2 linked regions of the Pelodiscus sinensis genome follow. The protein of the gene in region 1 interacts with the protein of each later gene in a biochemical or structural test. Links are inferred from orthologs where the notes say so. Each region holds a gene or a part of one and is shown in the gene's direction. Other genes may lie near its edges.

Region 1 (8,002 bases):
ACAGGTCCAGGTTCATTTGCCCCCTGCACTCCCCAGCCAGAGTGAGTACTGCAACAAATTGTGCAACCTATGGCTTGCAAGCCATATATGGCTCACTATTGCTCTGCCCCTTCCTCAATCCCCCTCCCCACAATGGGAAGCCCACGTTGTGCTTAAGCCTTGCGCCCCTTGCAAGATTGGAGCCAGTGCTGGCTTCCGGCAGAGAAGTTAGGGGAGGGCGGAGAAAGGCCCAAGTCTCGCTGTCCAATTGGGGAAGAAGTCGAAGGCATAAACGGCCGGCTTCGCACATGCACACATTGCCTTTCCTCCCTTTCCCTCCCCCGGATGGAGGAACAAAGCAGCAACAGACACGCTTCCTGTAGGCTTTTCCCTCTGCTCCATTGGCCACAATCCAGCCAATGGAGCAGTGGGAAGCCATGCCTGGGGCAGGAAGCCTGAGAGCAGTATGGGGCACAAAAGCAGACCCGGCTGCCATCTTGCCTGTGAAGGACCCGCTGCTGCATGGCCATGTCCTTGCTGCTCCGCACACTTCTCTGATCCCGCTTCACGCCACCTGTGCGTACTGTGCACTTGTACCCGCTGGAGAGCCCCGTGGGGCCGCTGGAATCTCTCATCAGCCTGAGCACCTTGTTCCTGGCCAGCCTGGAGAGCTACAAGAAGCATGACTGAGTGGGCTGGTTCCCATCCATGCCCAGACCTGCCAGCCGGACTCCTTGCACTTCTGGCAAGGTTCGGCCTCCATTCCACACTCAATCTTTGGGCCGCTAACTTATTCCTTTTCCCATGTGGAGCAGGAGCTGGCTGCCACGTGGCAGTGACTTGTATGTTACACTGAATAAACCCTATTTCAGACACGAGGGCTGTCTAAACTGCAGAGTTTTGCGCCAAAATGGCTGTTTTTGCACAAAAACTCACAGAACATCCACACCTCAAGTGCATTTTTGTGCAAGTAAATTGACAGAATTGAGGGATTTTTGCACAAGAGTTATTCCTCTTTCTATGGGGAGGTGCGTGTGGATGGGGAACTGCCTCTTTTTGCACAAAAAAACCCTATTGAAAAAAGCACAGTTGCACTGGTGGCTATTCTGTGAATAGCTTTCTTTCAAGAGAGCGTCCATTCAGTCTGGACTCTCTTGTGCAAAAGCGCATTGCTTTTTCAATGTGCTTTTGCAGTGTGGATACTCTTTTGCACAAGAAGTTTTTGTGGAAGATCTCTTCCGCAAAAAGCTTCTTGTGCAAGAAGCCTGTAGTGTAGACATAGCCTGGGAAAAAATAGTACCGCCCAGACTGCACCCCCACCCACCTCACGACCCTGTACCCCAGGCTATGCCTGCCCCTTTCCCCTGGCCATACACCTACCCCCAATCTCTCCTGTCCCCTCCCCCTTGTCCAGACATTCACCACCAGCCTGCTCCTTCCCCCTCCCCCATGGCCAGACACACACCTGCATCCTTCTCCTGCACCACCACCACCCCCGCCAGACACCTGCCCACAGCCCAGTCCTGCCACCTACCCTCTGGCCAGAAACCTGCCCCCTGTCTGCTTCTGCCCCCTCTCCTCTGGCCAGACTCCCTACTCCCAGCCTGCTCCTTCACCCTACCTCCCTCACATATCCTGCATCCCATCCCAACCCCATTCACTGGCATTTCTGTCCCACACACTGGACCCCTCACTTTTGGCCCCACCCAGAACCTAGGGAGGCCCGCAAAATCCACTAAGCCCCGGAACCCCAGAAGAGTTAATCTGGCCTGAGGCCTTGAACCTCAGTCCTCCCTGCTCCTTCTCCCCCCACATGGGGCTGGAGTGCCAGGGGAGTGGGGTGTCTCAGTTGGGGGTCACATCAGTGAGGGTTGTGTATTTTTTGGAGGGTATGACGGAGCGTACCCACTCTGCACTGGTCAGGAGGGGGTTAACTCAGCCCTGAGGGCAGAGGAGGATGCACCCCCTTTAACTTACTGGGCATGCTCAGGCTGTACTACTATAAAAGAGAGCAGCTCAGCTAGGCTGATAGCTGGAGGGAGAGGTTATGCTGAGTCAGCTTCCTGCAAGCCCCAATGCCTAACTAGAGGTCAGGACACCTCTTGAGACCTTGTTAGGTCCAGGGGAAGGGAGAGGTACCTGAAATATGTGGGGATGTGGTGGAACCAAGACTCACCAAGGAACTGAGACCTGGTGAAGCAGAAAGCAGCCCAGGAGTGGCAATGGCTACTGGGGTGAGTGAGCCACTGTTGAGAAGTCAGTGTGTTGTGGTCAGGATTTCCCTGCTGACTTAATTGTGTGAGCAAGCCACTAACAGGGCCCTGGGCTGGGGTCCAGTTGAATGGGAGTGTCTGGACCCCCCCTGCCAGGGGATACAAACCTTTCTCTTGCCTACTAACTCTTCAACAGACTTCTACCTTAAGGTTATGGCAGGACTATTGAACTGTGCTGCCCTGACCATAGAGGCATTTAAGCAGCATTTAATGAAGTCTGAGTACAATGTTTCATTTATGCTATTATTAATCATGCCAGTTATCAATATTAGGTTGCATATTTTCAGTGATGCAAATGGGTGTTCTTATACAGCTCTTTGTTGACTGCTTGATCTGAATTTTTATGTAGTTTGGCTCTTTGGTTTGAAAAGGTTGCTGACCCCTGCTCTGGGGGAACAGCCAGCAACGTCCCTGTATGAATCTGAAGGGAGATTCCTTCAGCACCCATGCTCTTCCTCAGTGCACACAAATTTATTCCAGACATGGATGGAGATTAAAGGGAACATTGCTCCTGACCTCCCTTTGTCTAGCAAATTTCTTCGTTCGGACTGGTCAGGCCCCAAAGATGCTGAATCAGGGAGGTCCAATGTGCCATCAAACCTTCCAGAATATTGCTGAATCAGTGCCGCATAACACTTTATATAGAGCACTTGTGATTGTTGATAACCACTTCAGTGTAAATTATTGGTACTGATTTTTGTTGTTGTAAGGAGTAGGTTGGGAGAGAGGTGTGTCGATGAATGCTATTGTGGATTAGGAAACAGGGGACATCCTGTAAGGTGATGAGTTTAAAGTACAGTACATGTATTAGATTTGTTATGAGAGGACAGTCAAGTGGTAATGAGTAGTTTTCAACTGTTTGTCTTGTACATTAAATTTATTCTTGCCTTTTCTCTCTGGATTCACAGGTAATAGAGGTGAACAAGATGATCATCCACTTTTCCAGGACACAACTAGATGGAAATACTACTATTTCTTCCTCTACATCACAAATCTTGAACAAAATCATTGTGGGCTAAGTTCAGTTTAGACTATAACTGTGAGGAGAGTCCTCTGGAAGGGTGGAAATGCCCAGGTATATGGGAAAAGGAAGAGATGGTACAATTCATATGTAGCTAGGAAAGTCTCCATTCATCTTATCCAAAAAGAGGGTTTATTTGAGGTTCCAGTGAATTTTAGTTAAGATACGGTTTTGCCAAGTTAAAGATGGCAACCCTATCTGGCCCAATTCCACCCTCCCATAGAATGGGAATTCTCAACATGGGTATCTGGATTAGCTGGCATTTACACCAGTATTAATAAAATTGTTAACATAACAAAAAATGAATTACTCTGATGTGAGAGAATGTATACCTGTTAGGGCTATATTCTAAGGTACTGAGGTAAGGAGCATTTTTCCTTTGCAGCTTATGGGTTTTGTGCCTTGGAGATGGGGAGGTGTTCAGATGTGAATTTCAGACATTTAAAGACAGTATATGTGAAATCTCTACTTATTCACAGCATCCCAACGGCCAGCCTGCAAAAGCTTTAGACTGTAAAGTGATCTGGTTCTGGTCAGTTTACTAGGAAACATTCCTGATTACAGACCTTAGCTTAATGGCTGTCAAGAGCTACTGAATTATTTCTCTTTTTTCCATTACCTTATCCTGAGTTTGACAGAAATAGCTGTCCAGAGTAAATTGCTTCATAATGTAAATCTAGGGCTTTATTCAGTCTCTAGTAGGGGTTTGATTGGGGGGAGGTTTGAGTCAAATTCTGATTCATTAACCAAAAAATAACCTGATTATTCACTGCCTTACACCATGTGCTAAGTTCCCATATGTAGATTTTTTTCCCCCTGTTTGTGTGCAGAATAAATGTGTGCTACAGGTAGGTTTTTAGTTTCTACCTGTGGGTACTCTTCTAGGCAGCAGTTGAATCCCTCCTGAGTTGCCACACAAGCACAGGTTAAAGAGAATACTGCTATGTCCACGCAGCTGCCTAGTAGGCACTCAAGTAACCTCCCCCTACCTTGCCTGGCCTCCAGCCTACCTTGGCCAGGGTAGGGCCAACCTGAACGAGTTACCTCCCGGCTTCAGCTCTCTGTTCCAGCCTTAAATCACTCATCCATACCCCATCCACGAGTGTGCACCCCCTGGCACCATAGACCTTCACCCCGCAGTAGTAATAGTTAGGTGCACCGCAGTGGTTTTGATGTGTGATCATCTTCATGTTAGTGCACGGAACAAAATTTATTCTGCTCCAGGGTGGGAAATGTAGGCGGGAACACTGCGCAGCTGTAGTCATTTGGATTTGTTCAAAATGTAAACTGCCCTAGAAGAGTAAAATGCTAACAAAGAGGAATGGAAGCATTTTACACTCCCTCTTCCCAGCTGTGAAATGGCCCCATCAGCTGGGACAAAAAGGGGGCCTGTGTCACAGCGAAAGGGGGCAGGGGGGCCGAGCGCGTGGTCGGGGTCTGGCTTTCCTAGAGCCACACACTGGGAGTGGCGGAAGGAGACGCCGCAGTTGGGGGGGGGGGGGCTCCTAGTGCAGCGCGAATGCAACTGTCTCGAGCCTCCCCGGCTCCTGCGGGCGGCCCCGGCAGCCCCCTTGCCCCCAGCTACCTGCGAGCGCCGGGGATTGGCTGCGCCGGCCCCGCCCCCAGCTGCTGACGTAGGCGGGCTCGGTTTGACGGGCAGGTATGGCCGCGGCGCCATGTTGCGAGCGGAAGCGGGGAGCGAGCGGCGCTGAGGCAGGGTAGCTCGCTCCGCCCGGCGGGAGGAGGGGAGGAAGCGGCAGCAGCACCAGAGTAGCCGCCGGGTAGGGCCCCGCGCCGCGCCCGCACCAGGGTCCCTCGCCCTGTCGGAGCCGGGGGCTGCCCCGATCCTGCCCCGGCCCCGCGGGGGCGCTTGAAGGCGGCGCGCGAAGGCGGCGGCGGAGTCGAGCGGGGACGATGCCGCTGGCGCAGCTGGCGGACCCCTGGCAGAAGATGGCTGTGGAGAGCGCGGCCGAGAGCAGCACGGAGGTACGGGGCCGGGGTGGGGAGCGGCGCAGAGACACGCCGGCCCCCCTGGCAATGGGGGCCCTAGCTCCGTGGCCCCGGGCGCGTTGCCCTTGAGCGAGCGCCCGGCGGGGCAGGGGCTGTGAAACACCCGCCGCTCTGCTGGGCTACGGCCCCCCGGGGCCGGGACGCGCTGTCCCGCGTGGCGGGGCGATGATGGGGAGCGCGCCTGTCCCGGGGCTGGGCTGAGCGAGGTGTCGCGACTCCCCCCCCCCCCCCCCCCCGCCGTTTGTGGGAAACTTTCCTTGGCCGCGTGTGCGGGTCGCTCGGCCGCGGGGGCGCCGCGGAGCTGGCCGGAGCTCATAGGTCAGGGGAAGGCCGGAGGGAGCCGCACAGGACTTTTCCCCTCTCCCAGCAGCTGCTGCTGCTGCTCGGAGCTCAGTCCTGGCGTCTGGCTCCCTCCTTGGCCCGAGCGAGTCCTGGCTGGGTGCCGCTTCCTTGTCCGGAGTGACCGACCCACACGCACCGGGGAACCGGCCGGGACCCCACCACTTCCGGAGGAGGTGGGGAGGCTTAGCCTGCACCCTTCCTCCGCTGGGAGCAGAATAACCTGCTTCTGCGTCGCTGCAGGACTTGGCTGGTTTCGTTCCGTTCCGGTATCTGGTTACTGTCACCGCGAGCTACCTCCTCCCGGAGTGGCCCAGCCTCCTCCACAGCATTTCCCAGCTAGCGGATACGGGGTTTAGGAAGACTAGCGTCTAGTAGGGCAACTCTGCATAGCCACCTGCCCCTTTGGCAGGCCAGGCAAGCATATAAGAAGCCTGGCTTCACCTTGCTTAACGGTCTCTCCTTTTCCTTTCTGTGCTGTTGGAAAAGCTCACCCACTTCTCCCATCCTGAAATGCCTTTATTTAGACAGACCTGGATTGTGTCTGCTGTTGCTGTTTTGCAAGCATTTGGGATACCACACGTTGGTAACATTTTCTGTTTGGCCAGTTATGGAAAACATCTATGTGATGCTGTGCAGTGTGGTTTCCTGCTGTTCACAGTGAGGGGCAGTGGGACGTTAATGAGTTATGACATCAAAGTCACAGTTCCGGATGCATTTTTAGTTACTAGTCAGTTGTTCCACGTGCTGGTGAAGAAATTCAGATCCAGCCCAAGTGGGGTAATAATTTAGAGCTTCGGTCACTTCCACTTTTTCTTAAATAAAGAATTGTGTGCTAATGTGGTTTGGAAATCAGATGATAAAGGCTCAAAAGATTTGTAATAATGCTGAGAAACTTGTCCCATTGCTTCCTGACAGACTGCAGATTAGTTTGCCCTCCAATTAAGTGGTTTTGATACCACAATAATTTAAAAATACCTATCCTCCTTACAGTAGTTTTCTCATTAACCTTCCAAGTGGGAGTTCTAGGTGAAATAATTTAGGAAAGGAGAATAATTACTAAGGAATTTTACACTTGTTCTAAGAGGACAAATATTTTTTTCCTTCCTGAGACTTATCCAGCATGACTGAATTTTATCATGTAAACTGTCACTTTAATTGACACTCTGTTATATATATTTATAATTAGGGAACATATCAGCTAACTGCTCTGAATATAAGGAAGCCACACTGCTAAATTTAGAAGGTGTTGCATTAATGGATGTGTGTTACTAAATATGTTACGTTTCCATTATTTGCTTGATTTCTCATCTTTCAAAATTCTGGTTTTGGAGGCTACAAACTGAATAATTTATGAAGACTTTTAAAACAAACATTTCAAAGTGTATTCAGTCACTTTATAAAGAAAAGTTACACATGTAAACAAGGCTGTCGTGCACTTTTATTACATGAAACTTAAAAGTTACCTAGAAGCATTACAAAAATAATAATAGCTTATATCTGAAAGGTTTATAGTGTAAGGCTCAAGCGTAACAAATACTGTGCTTCATATGAGTGTAATCCCAAATTATTTCAGGTTTATTTCTTAGACAGGACACAGATAATCATTGATGTTTTTAGTGAATATTCATATTGCCTGTGTGTGGTGGTATTTTAGTACACATTTGCTGTGGAATAGATTTAGTGTTCTAAGTTACTACAGTGGAACCTCTCAGTTATAAAAATTTTGGTGATGGTGGTTGTTTATAGTTCTGAATAGCAGGTTCTGGTTCTTTCAAAAGTTCACAACTGAATTTTGACTTAATTCCAATTTGAAACTTTACTACACAGAAGGAAAAGTGCTTCTTTTAACCACCTTAATTTAAATGAAGCAAGTGTAGAGACAGTTTCTGTGCCCTGTCAAATCTTTTTCTAAACTTTCCCTTTGTTTAGTAGTTTACATTTAACACAGTACAATACTGTATTTTTTTTTTCTTTTGGTTTCTGCCTCTGGCTGATTGCATACTTCCAGTTCCAAAAGGAGGTGTGTGGTGGATGGGTCAGTTTGTAATTCTGGTGTTTATAACTCTGAGGTTCTACTGTTTGAAGAACAATTATGAATATTTGATTAGAATATTAAATGTATATTAGGGATGTTAAATTCAATTAATTGAATTTAATCTAATAGTCAATGCAATTTACTCGATTAGTCGATACTTCAAAGGCAGAGGTGCTGTATAGCAACAGCTGTTGCTACACTTCAAAGGCGAAAGCACTGCAGGGAACGCCTGGCCAGTGGAGCAGTCTCCCACTGGACCTGTGCTCCCCATGGAGTTTCAAAGCAACAGCACCCTGCAGAGCCCGGGGTCAGCTGAGGATTCCCATTGACCTTTGGGCTCCA
Region 2 (7,219 bases), on another chromosome or scaffold:
GACACACAGAGATCCAGGCCCCGGGAAGTAGCGCCCGACCCCAGCCACTGTGAGCCCTGGGATTTGGGATCCAGTCCCGTAGCACATGGGATGGCACAGCAGACACTGCACTGGGGCTGTGCTCCCCACGCAGCCCATCCGTTCAGCAGCAGAACCGCCCCTGGATCTGCTCAGAGGCTTTGCCCAGCCTCCTCCGTGGCTCTGAAGGGCTGAGAGCTGGTCTCCAGACCCCGCAATGCAGGATCTTGGTGTTGCTGGCTGGGCCAGGGAAGGGCAGTGCACGAGGGGACCAGAGCACAGGGCCATGCGGTAGGGTTGTAGCTGCAGCAGCACTCTGGCCTGGCGTAGCTCCCACAAGCCCCAGCACCCTGGGGCCAAGCTGGCCTGGATCTGAGTCCCACAATGCAGCCTGGAGCTGGGCGGCCCCCTTCAGAGACCCTCCTCCACACAGAGAGTTGGGCTGAGCTCTGACGGCTCCCAGGGCAGAGCAGCTCCTTGAGGGATGCTCCCACCCCTGAGAGCGTTCCCTGGGGCCTGGGTCAAAAGCCCAGCTCTGGGTCCGGCACAAGCCACTTGAGCGGGATGCTGGAATCGAGGGAGGGGGATGGTTCCCCAGCCTCGGCTAGATACGCCAGACGAGATCCGGCTGGTCTGTAATGCCTGTGTCTGTGAAGGGGAGTCCCAGGCAAGGTCCTTTCCCAGGGCTGTCGGATTATAGGCCCCGAAGCCTGAGGTGAAGGGGCCAGGAGAGCGAGGGGGTGACAGGGAAGCAGGGTCCAGTCAGTCAGGAGGCCAATGGGGCTGCCCACAGCCCTGTGCCCATTCCAACAGGCCATGTTGCCTCCCCGGGGTGTCAGTCCAGAGCGCAGCAGCACCCCCCTCAGCCCTGCCCAGGCAACACGGCAGTGGCAGCTTGGGCACCTGAGAACAGCCACAGAGACAAGGGGACCTGCGGGGTTGGGTCCTTGGAGCCACAGGCAGGGAGGACGAGGAGAAATCCCCTGCCCAGGAGCTGGCACAAGGCAGTAGGCACGACAGTCTGGATTTCTAACCCAAGGGACAGAGCCATTTCCCTGCGGGCGCTGTGCTGAAGGAATCAGAGGAGGGGACTCATAGAGACATGCTCCTTCAGTGAGTGCTGACCCCAATGCCCCAGTGTGACACTAGAGGGCACTGTGCAGTAGGGCATGGGGGACGGAGGACCTCTCTCCCCCCTGCACCAGTGCTGATCCCTCTGTGGTGCTGGGCCTGCTGTTTGCCTGGATTAGACCCATAACCCCACAATCCAGCCCTCCACCCCAGTGCCACAAGCATTGAGGTTTTAGGCCACATTTCAGCTAGGGCCACTGGTTAATTATATTCCACCATAGTAAATTCTCTCAGATGTTCACACTGGACACAAGATTCTTGTCCCATGCTGTAATATTGTTCTGTGCTGTTAGACAGCTGCCATGCCATGCCCCAGAGGTGGCTGCATATCAGAGCTGGCTGAGTGAGCTCCATGCAGCGGTGTTTTGTGGCTGTTAGGCAGCTGCCATGTCCTGCCCCAGGGGTGGCCGCATATCAGTGCTGGGTGAGTGAGCTCCATGCAGTAGTGTTGTGTTGCTGTTAGGCAGCTGCCATGCCCTACCCCAGAGGTGGCTGCATATCAGTGCTGGGTGAGTGAGTTCCATGCACTGGTGTTGTGTGGCTGTTAAGCACCTTCAGTACTGGGTGCAATGACCAATTTTACCCACTTCCCCGCGAGGCTCTAGCAGTGTGAAATGTTCTGTGGCCCTGGGCTGGAAGCAGAGCCCCCCAGCAGGGATGGGTGACACTGGCTGACCTGATGGCTGCAGCCCGAGGGGGCCCTGCTGCGATCTCATTATGCAGTGGTATGAAAACACATGGAGCTGGGATTAGGGTATTTGTGAAACACCCCATGGATGGCAGGGGGCCAGAGGCAGCCAGCAACACCCAGCATCAGGCCTGCATGGAGCACACAGAAAGACCAGCTCAGCCATGGTGTCTGCCCAGGGGCACCAACCTACATAGACACAGATGCCCACCTTCTCCCAGGGGCAAATGCCGGGGGGTGGGGCAGATATGAGAGAGAGACTCATCCCTCACTAACCACATGCTCTCTCTGTTTGGGTCAGGGTCTCATTAATGTCCCTGGCTGAGTCTAACCCCTCCATGGCTTTGCTCCAGCTGCTTGCACCCTGTTCCTTTACCCAATCTCCCCACATGTGCCCCCGGATGCATTCCTAGCCTCCTCCCCAGAGCACCCCCTGCTGGGAGAAGTTGGGACTGGTGCAGCTGGGAGCTTCCTGTCCCGCCAACGCTGCTGTCCTGCTCCCTGCAGTGCACCCCCTGCTGGGCGAGGCCAGGCCTGGTGCTGCAGTGAATGCTGCCTAGCCAGCACCTCCTACACCATTCCCAGTGGCAGCCGTGGCAGCCTTCCAAACAGCTGTAGCTCTCGGTTCACATCATCTAGGAACTGGAGCTGGCAGCCACGCAGGAACCGATTCTGGCCTCCCTCGGCCGGAGCAGGCAGCAGATCCCTGCATTGCAGAGCAGAAGCGAGTGCGGCCAGGCTGCTCTTTCCTCTTGTGCCCTAAAGTGCAGCTAGAAGCCAGGGCCCCATTGTCACACCTTTGCCTGGGGCCCCACCAGCAACCAGATGGGCAAACCCAAGGGTCTGGAACTGCTTGCTCATCTACTCCCAGCTGCCATTTCTCTGACAGTCTCTCTCCCCCCCCCCCACCCCCGTCCCCCCATGGAGGAAGTGAAAGTGCCCAGTTCCTCCTTTCGATCTTACTCCTACCCTGCTCTGATCATGCTGGGTTTGGGTGGCCCCCGCTGACAGGGCAGGGTAGCGGAGGTGGGAGGAAGGCCAGATGGGCTGTCCCTGTGGGCAACACAGGAGTGGCTGTGGGGGTTGGAGGGAAGCAGGCTTAGGGCTCTGCAGGAGCCAGGCTCAGGGGTGTGGAAAGGGGGCAAGGAGCCAGATTGGGGGCTGCACCCCCTGGCAGCTGGTTGCAAAGTCTGTGTGGTTCTTTAGATGCTTCTTTTTCACTTCCCAGAACCCCAGATGCCAGCAGTGCAGAAACACATAAATGACCCTGCAATAACAAACCAGCGAGTGCAGCCTGGCATTGCTGGGTGACCCTACAATAACAAAGAGGCCAGTGCAACCATTCATTGCAAGGTGACCCTACAATAACAAACGGCCAGTGCAACCATTCATTGCAAGGTGACCCTACAATAACAAAGCAGCCAGTGCAGCTGCAGGGTGACCCTACAATAACAAAGCAGCCAGTGCAGCCATTCATTGCAAGGTGACCCTACAATAACAAAGCGGCCAGTGCAGCTGCAGGGTGACCCTACAATAACAAGCGGCCAGTGCAACCATTCATTGCAAGGTGACCCTACAATAACAAGCGGCTAGTGCAGCCATTCATTGCAAGGTGACCCTACAATAACAAAGCAGCCAGTGCAGCTGCAGGGTGACCCTACAATAACAAGCGGCCAGTGCAGCCATTCATTGCAGGGTGACCCTACAATAACAAACGGTCAGTGCAGTCCAGGGTAACTAAGTCTCCAGTGTGAAGGGAGGATGGTGAATGGGGCTGGTGGGAATGGAGCTGCTCTGCCGGGACAAGGGCAGGGGATCTCATTTGAGGATGGGAACTGGACTCCCCCTTGGAGTCAGAGGTTCTGTCCCTGGGCCTGGGCCTGGGCCCTGCAGGGGAGGCAGGAGCTGCCCTGGTGGCCCTCTGCTCTGTGCAGCTTTGTTGGGAAGAAGGGGAACCGGCTAAACCCCAGTCCAGGTGCAGGCTGAGAATCAGGGGCCGGCTCCCGTTTACACTAGGAGAGGATCCGGAATCGTCTCCCCCCGGCTTACCGCAGCCCCTCAGAAATGAGGTGAAACCAGCTGCAAAATGCAGCCGGCCGGGACGGGTCCGTTTCACTTTGTGCCGGGAGCCGGCTGCGGGGGTCCCGGCGTGTGGGGGTGGCCAAGCCCCGGGAAGGGGTCAGGACTGGGCTATGTCCAAAGGCCCCTGGGCTGGTCCCCGGAGCTCGGTGCCGGGGCTGGAGGGTTGCGGGGAGGGGCGGCGCGTGGCAGGGCCGCGGGAGGCGAAGGGTTAAATGCCTCGGCGGCGGTGCCAGCCCGGCGAGCGAGGGGGGTGCAACAAAGGCGCCTTCTCTGCCTCCCGCACGCTCGCTCGCTCGCTCCCCGGCGCTGACATCAGCGGGCGCTCGCTGCCTCCGGGAGGCGAGTCCAGATCGCGCCAGGCGCGGCGGGACCGCCCCAGCCCCGAGCTCCAGCCCCAGCCGAGCCGTCCGCAGCCGGAGCCGGTGAGTTGCTGCTGCCGGGGAGGAGAGAGCGGGGCGCGGGGGATGGTCCTCGCGGGGCGCCCTTGGCGGGCTGGGGGGGATCGGGGCTTGAGTCCCCGCTCGGTCACCGGGTCCCAGGCGCTGGCTCCCAGCGCCCGCCCCGGGGCAGCCGCCGGCTCCATGCGGACTCAGAGCCCGGAGCGTCCGGCCGCATGCGGCTGGCGGGGACCCACCCTGCGCCGGGGAGGCGCGCCCGGCTGAGGCAGCGCCCTGCCAGCTCCAGCTGCCGCTCCCCGCACACACCCCGCTCAGCTCTGGACGGGACCCCCCCCCCGCACACACACACCCCTCCCCGCACACACCCCGCTCAGCTCTGGACGGGACCCCCCCCCCGCACACACACACCCCGCACACACCCCGCTCAGCTCTGGACGGGACCCCCCCCCCCCCGCACACACACACCCCGCACACACCCCGCTCAGCTCTGGACGGGACCCCCCCCCCCGCACACACACACCCCGCGCACACCGCTCAGCTCTAGACGGGACCCCCCCCTGCACACACACCCCTCCCCGCACACACACCGCTCAGCTCTGGACGGGACCCCCCCCCCCCGCACATACACACCCCTCTCACACCGCTCAGCTCTAGACGGGACCCCCCCCTGCACACACACCCCTCCCCGCACACACACCGCTCAGCTCTGGACGGGACCCCCCCCCCCCGCACATACACACACACCCCGCGCACACACCGCTCAGCTCTGGACGGGACCACCCCCCCCCCCGCACACACACACCCCTCCCCGCACACACACCGCTCAGCTCTGGACGGGACCCCCCCCCGCACATACACACCCCTCCCCGCACACACACCGCTCAGCTCTGGACGGGACCCCCCCCCCCGCACACACACCCCGGGCGGGACCTCCCCCCCGTGCACACACACCCCGCACACAAACCGCTCAGCCCGGGGCGGGACCCCCATACACGTGCTGCTCCCGGTGGAACGTGCCGCCTGCCCTGGAGTCAGCCCTGCCGCTACCCCCTTGGGGCACCAGGCTCCGCATTCTTCCCTGGTGCCTAGCTGGGGCAGCCCCCCAGCCCCTGGCCTCGGGCTAGGGTGATGCCAGCTGCTGTCCCGCTTCCTTGTGCTCGGTGCTGTACAAACCCGGCCCCCAACCGGGAGAGTCACCAGCCTCCTTCTGCGGCTTCTCCTATGGGGAGCCCCCATCCCCCGGCAGCTGCTCGTGCACCCCGGGCTCCCCCAGCGGCCAGCTTCCATTCCCCCGGCTGCCCTTGCTAGTGGGGGCCGGATGGGGGGTTGCAGGGCTGCCCAGAGGGGAAATGGTGAAATCTAGAGGGGGTGGGGAACTGGCCACTCCATGACTCCGGGCATGATTCAGTGGCTGGGCCTGGAGGCTGCTGGCTGCCTGCTGCTGGGCTGTTTCACAGCCCAGGTCTGCTGCTGGGGCCCCATTCAAGGGAAACCTCTGGGCAGCTGGCAAGTTGGCCCAGGGAGACAGCCCCAAAGCCCCAAGGTGTGTGGAAAAGAGCTGGGCGCCTTGGATTCAGTAGCCCCCCACCTCTGCCCCCGGCCCGACTCATTTTATCTCCCAGGTCTGCTTCCCGGGGGAGCTGGCTGGGGCAGGGACCCTGGGTCGGGGCACAAGGGGGCCCTGCTCTGGACTGGACTCTCCAGGGCACATGGGGGTGAGGGCGCTGATGCCTTGCAGAGCCCTGGGAGATGTGCTGGTGAAAGGGACTCAGGCAGAGCAAGGCGGAGCCTGGTCACGGCCGGCTGGGGAAAGGTGAGAGGGGGCAAAGGATGTGTTGGGGCACTGTGCTCCCCCGCACAGGGGGGTGCGTCTCCAGCCAAGCTCCTGGCTGTTCAGTCTCCCTCTAAATGCTGTTTACTAGAGTGGGGTAGGTTGGGCCGGTCTCCCAGCTGTGTCTGATCTCTGGTCGCTAGAAGCAACAGCGGGTTAGGGGCCAGTCTGAGGCCGCTGGGGTTCAGGGTTAGATCTGGGAAAACTGGGGGTCAGGTCACCTCGGTTCCATCTCCAGCCCTGGAGGAGCATGGGGTCTAGAGGCTTGGGCACAGGGTGGAGTCGGGACACTTGGGTTCTGTCCCCTCCTCTGCTGCTGACTCGGTGTGTGACCTTGGGCATGTCATGTCCTCCGTGCCTCAGTTTACCCTTCCATCACATTGGGCTGAGGACACTGAGCTGTGCCTTGGGGGAGGGAGCTATTTCTAGAGGGTCTCTGCCTGTGGGTGGAAGGTGTTGGAGGACTGTTATTTTTGACCCTCTGGGACTCCTCTGGTTGCTGCGAATCTGCCATTCCTGGGCTGGAGTCTCCTGCACGTGAGCGGCCAAGCCCACTGAAATGGAAAGGTCTCTGGTGCTGGGGGACTGATCTGTGGCTTGGGGGAAATATTTAGGGCCTGATCCTCATTTGCTCCAAGGCTCCCACAGCCCCCTCTGTCCGGAATGGTAATTGACAAACCCCCTCTGTCCTGTAAAGGACAACTGGGGGCCCTATGCCTCTAGCTCTAGAGATGGCCCCACACCCCACCCACCCTCTCCTGGTGCTCACCCCCCCCCCCCCCAAGCCGACACTTGGACAGCAGGGGAAGTGCGTGTATGGAGAGCAAGACTCCAGCTAGATCTGCTCCAGCTCCTGGTCTGGATGTGCTCGAGCGCCCAGGCGACCCAACCCCTCCATTATCCAAGGCCCCTGCCGGCTGATTTTGGTGCTGACCACATTCTGCACGGGCTACCCACAGGCACGTGCAGGCTGCCTCGCCCAGAGCTCAGTGCCCACTATCAGGGTGGGATGTTCCAAAGCCCTCGGCTCCCAGCCAGGCACCTGGAACCAGCTTTTTGCTCTGTGCCCAG

Evidence for each region.
Region 2: the proteins of RPS6KA3 (region 1) and PEA15 form a complex in vitro, tested with the Homo sapiens proteins (2 studies listed by BioGRID). The link is inferred for Pelodiscus sinensis from reciprocal best matches to the Homo sapiens genes RPS6KA3 and PEA15.

Annotation. Positions count from the first base shown.
Region 1 is NC_134711.1:208,009,482-208,017,483, forward strand, and holds the start of RPS6KA3 (ribosomal protein S6 kinase alpha-3), read left to right. Parts: upstream 1-4,916; 5' UTR 4,917-5,187; coding exon 5,188-5,259; intron 5,260-8,002. UniProt on the Homo sapiens protein: Serine/threonine-protein kinase that acts downstream of ERK (MAPK1/ERK2 and MAPK3/ERK1) signaling and mediates mitogenic and stress-induced activation of the transcription factors CREB1, ETV1/ER81 and NR4A1/NUR77, regulates translation through RPS6 and EIF4B phosphorylation, and mediates cellular proliferation, survival, and differentiation by modulating mTOR signaling and repressing pro-apoptotic function of BAD and DAPK1.
Region 2 is NC_134734.1:14,495,749-14,502,967, forward strand, and holds the start of PEA15 (astrocytic phosphoprotein PEA-15), read left to right. Parts: upstream 1-4,140; 5' UTR 4,141-4,341; intron 4,342-7,219. UniProt on the Homo sapiens protein: Blocks Ras-mediated inhibition of integrin activation and modulates the ERK MAP kinase cascade. Inhibits RPS6KA3 activities by retaining it in the cytoplasm. Inhibits both TNFRSF6- and TNFRSF1A-mediated CASP8 activity and apoptosis.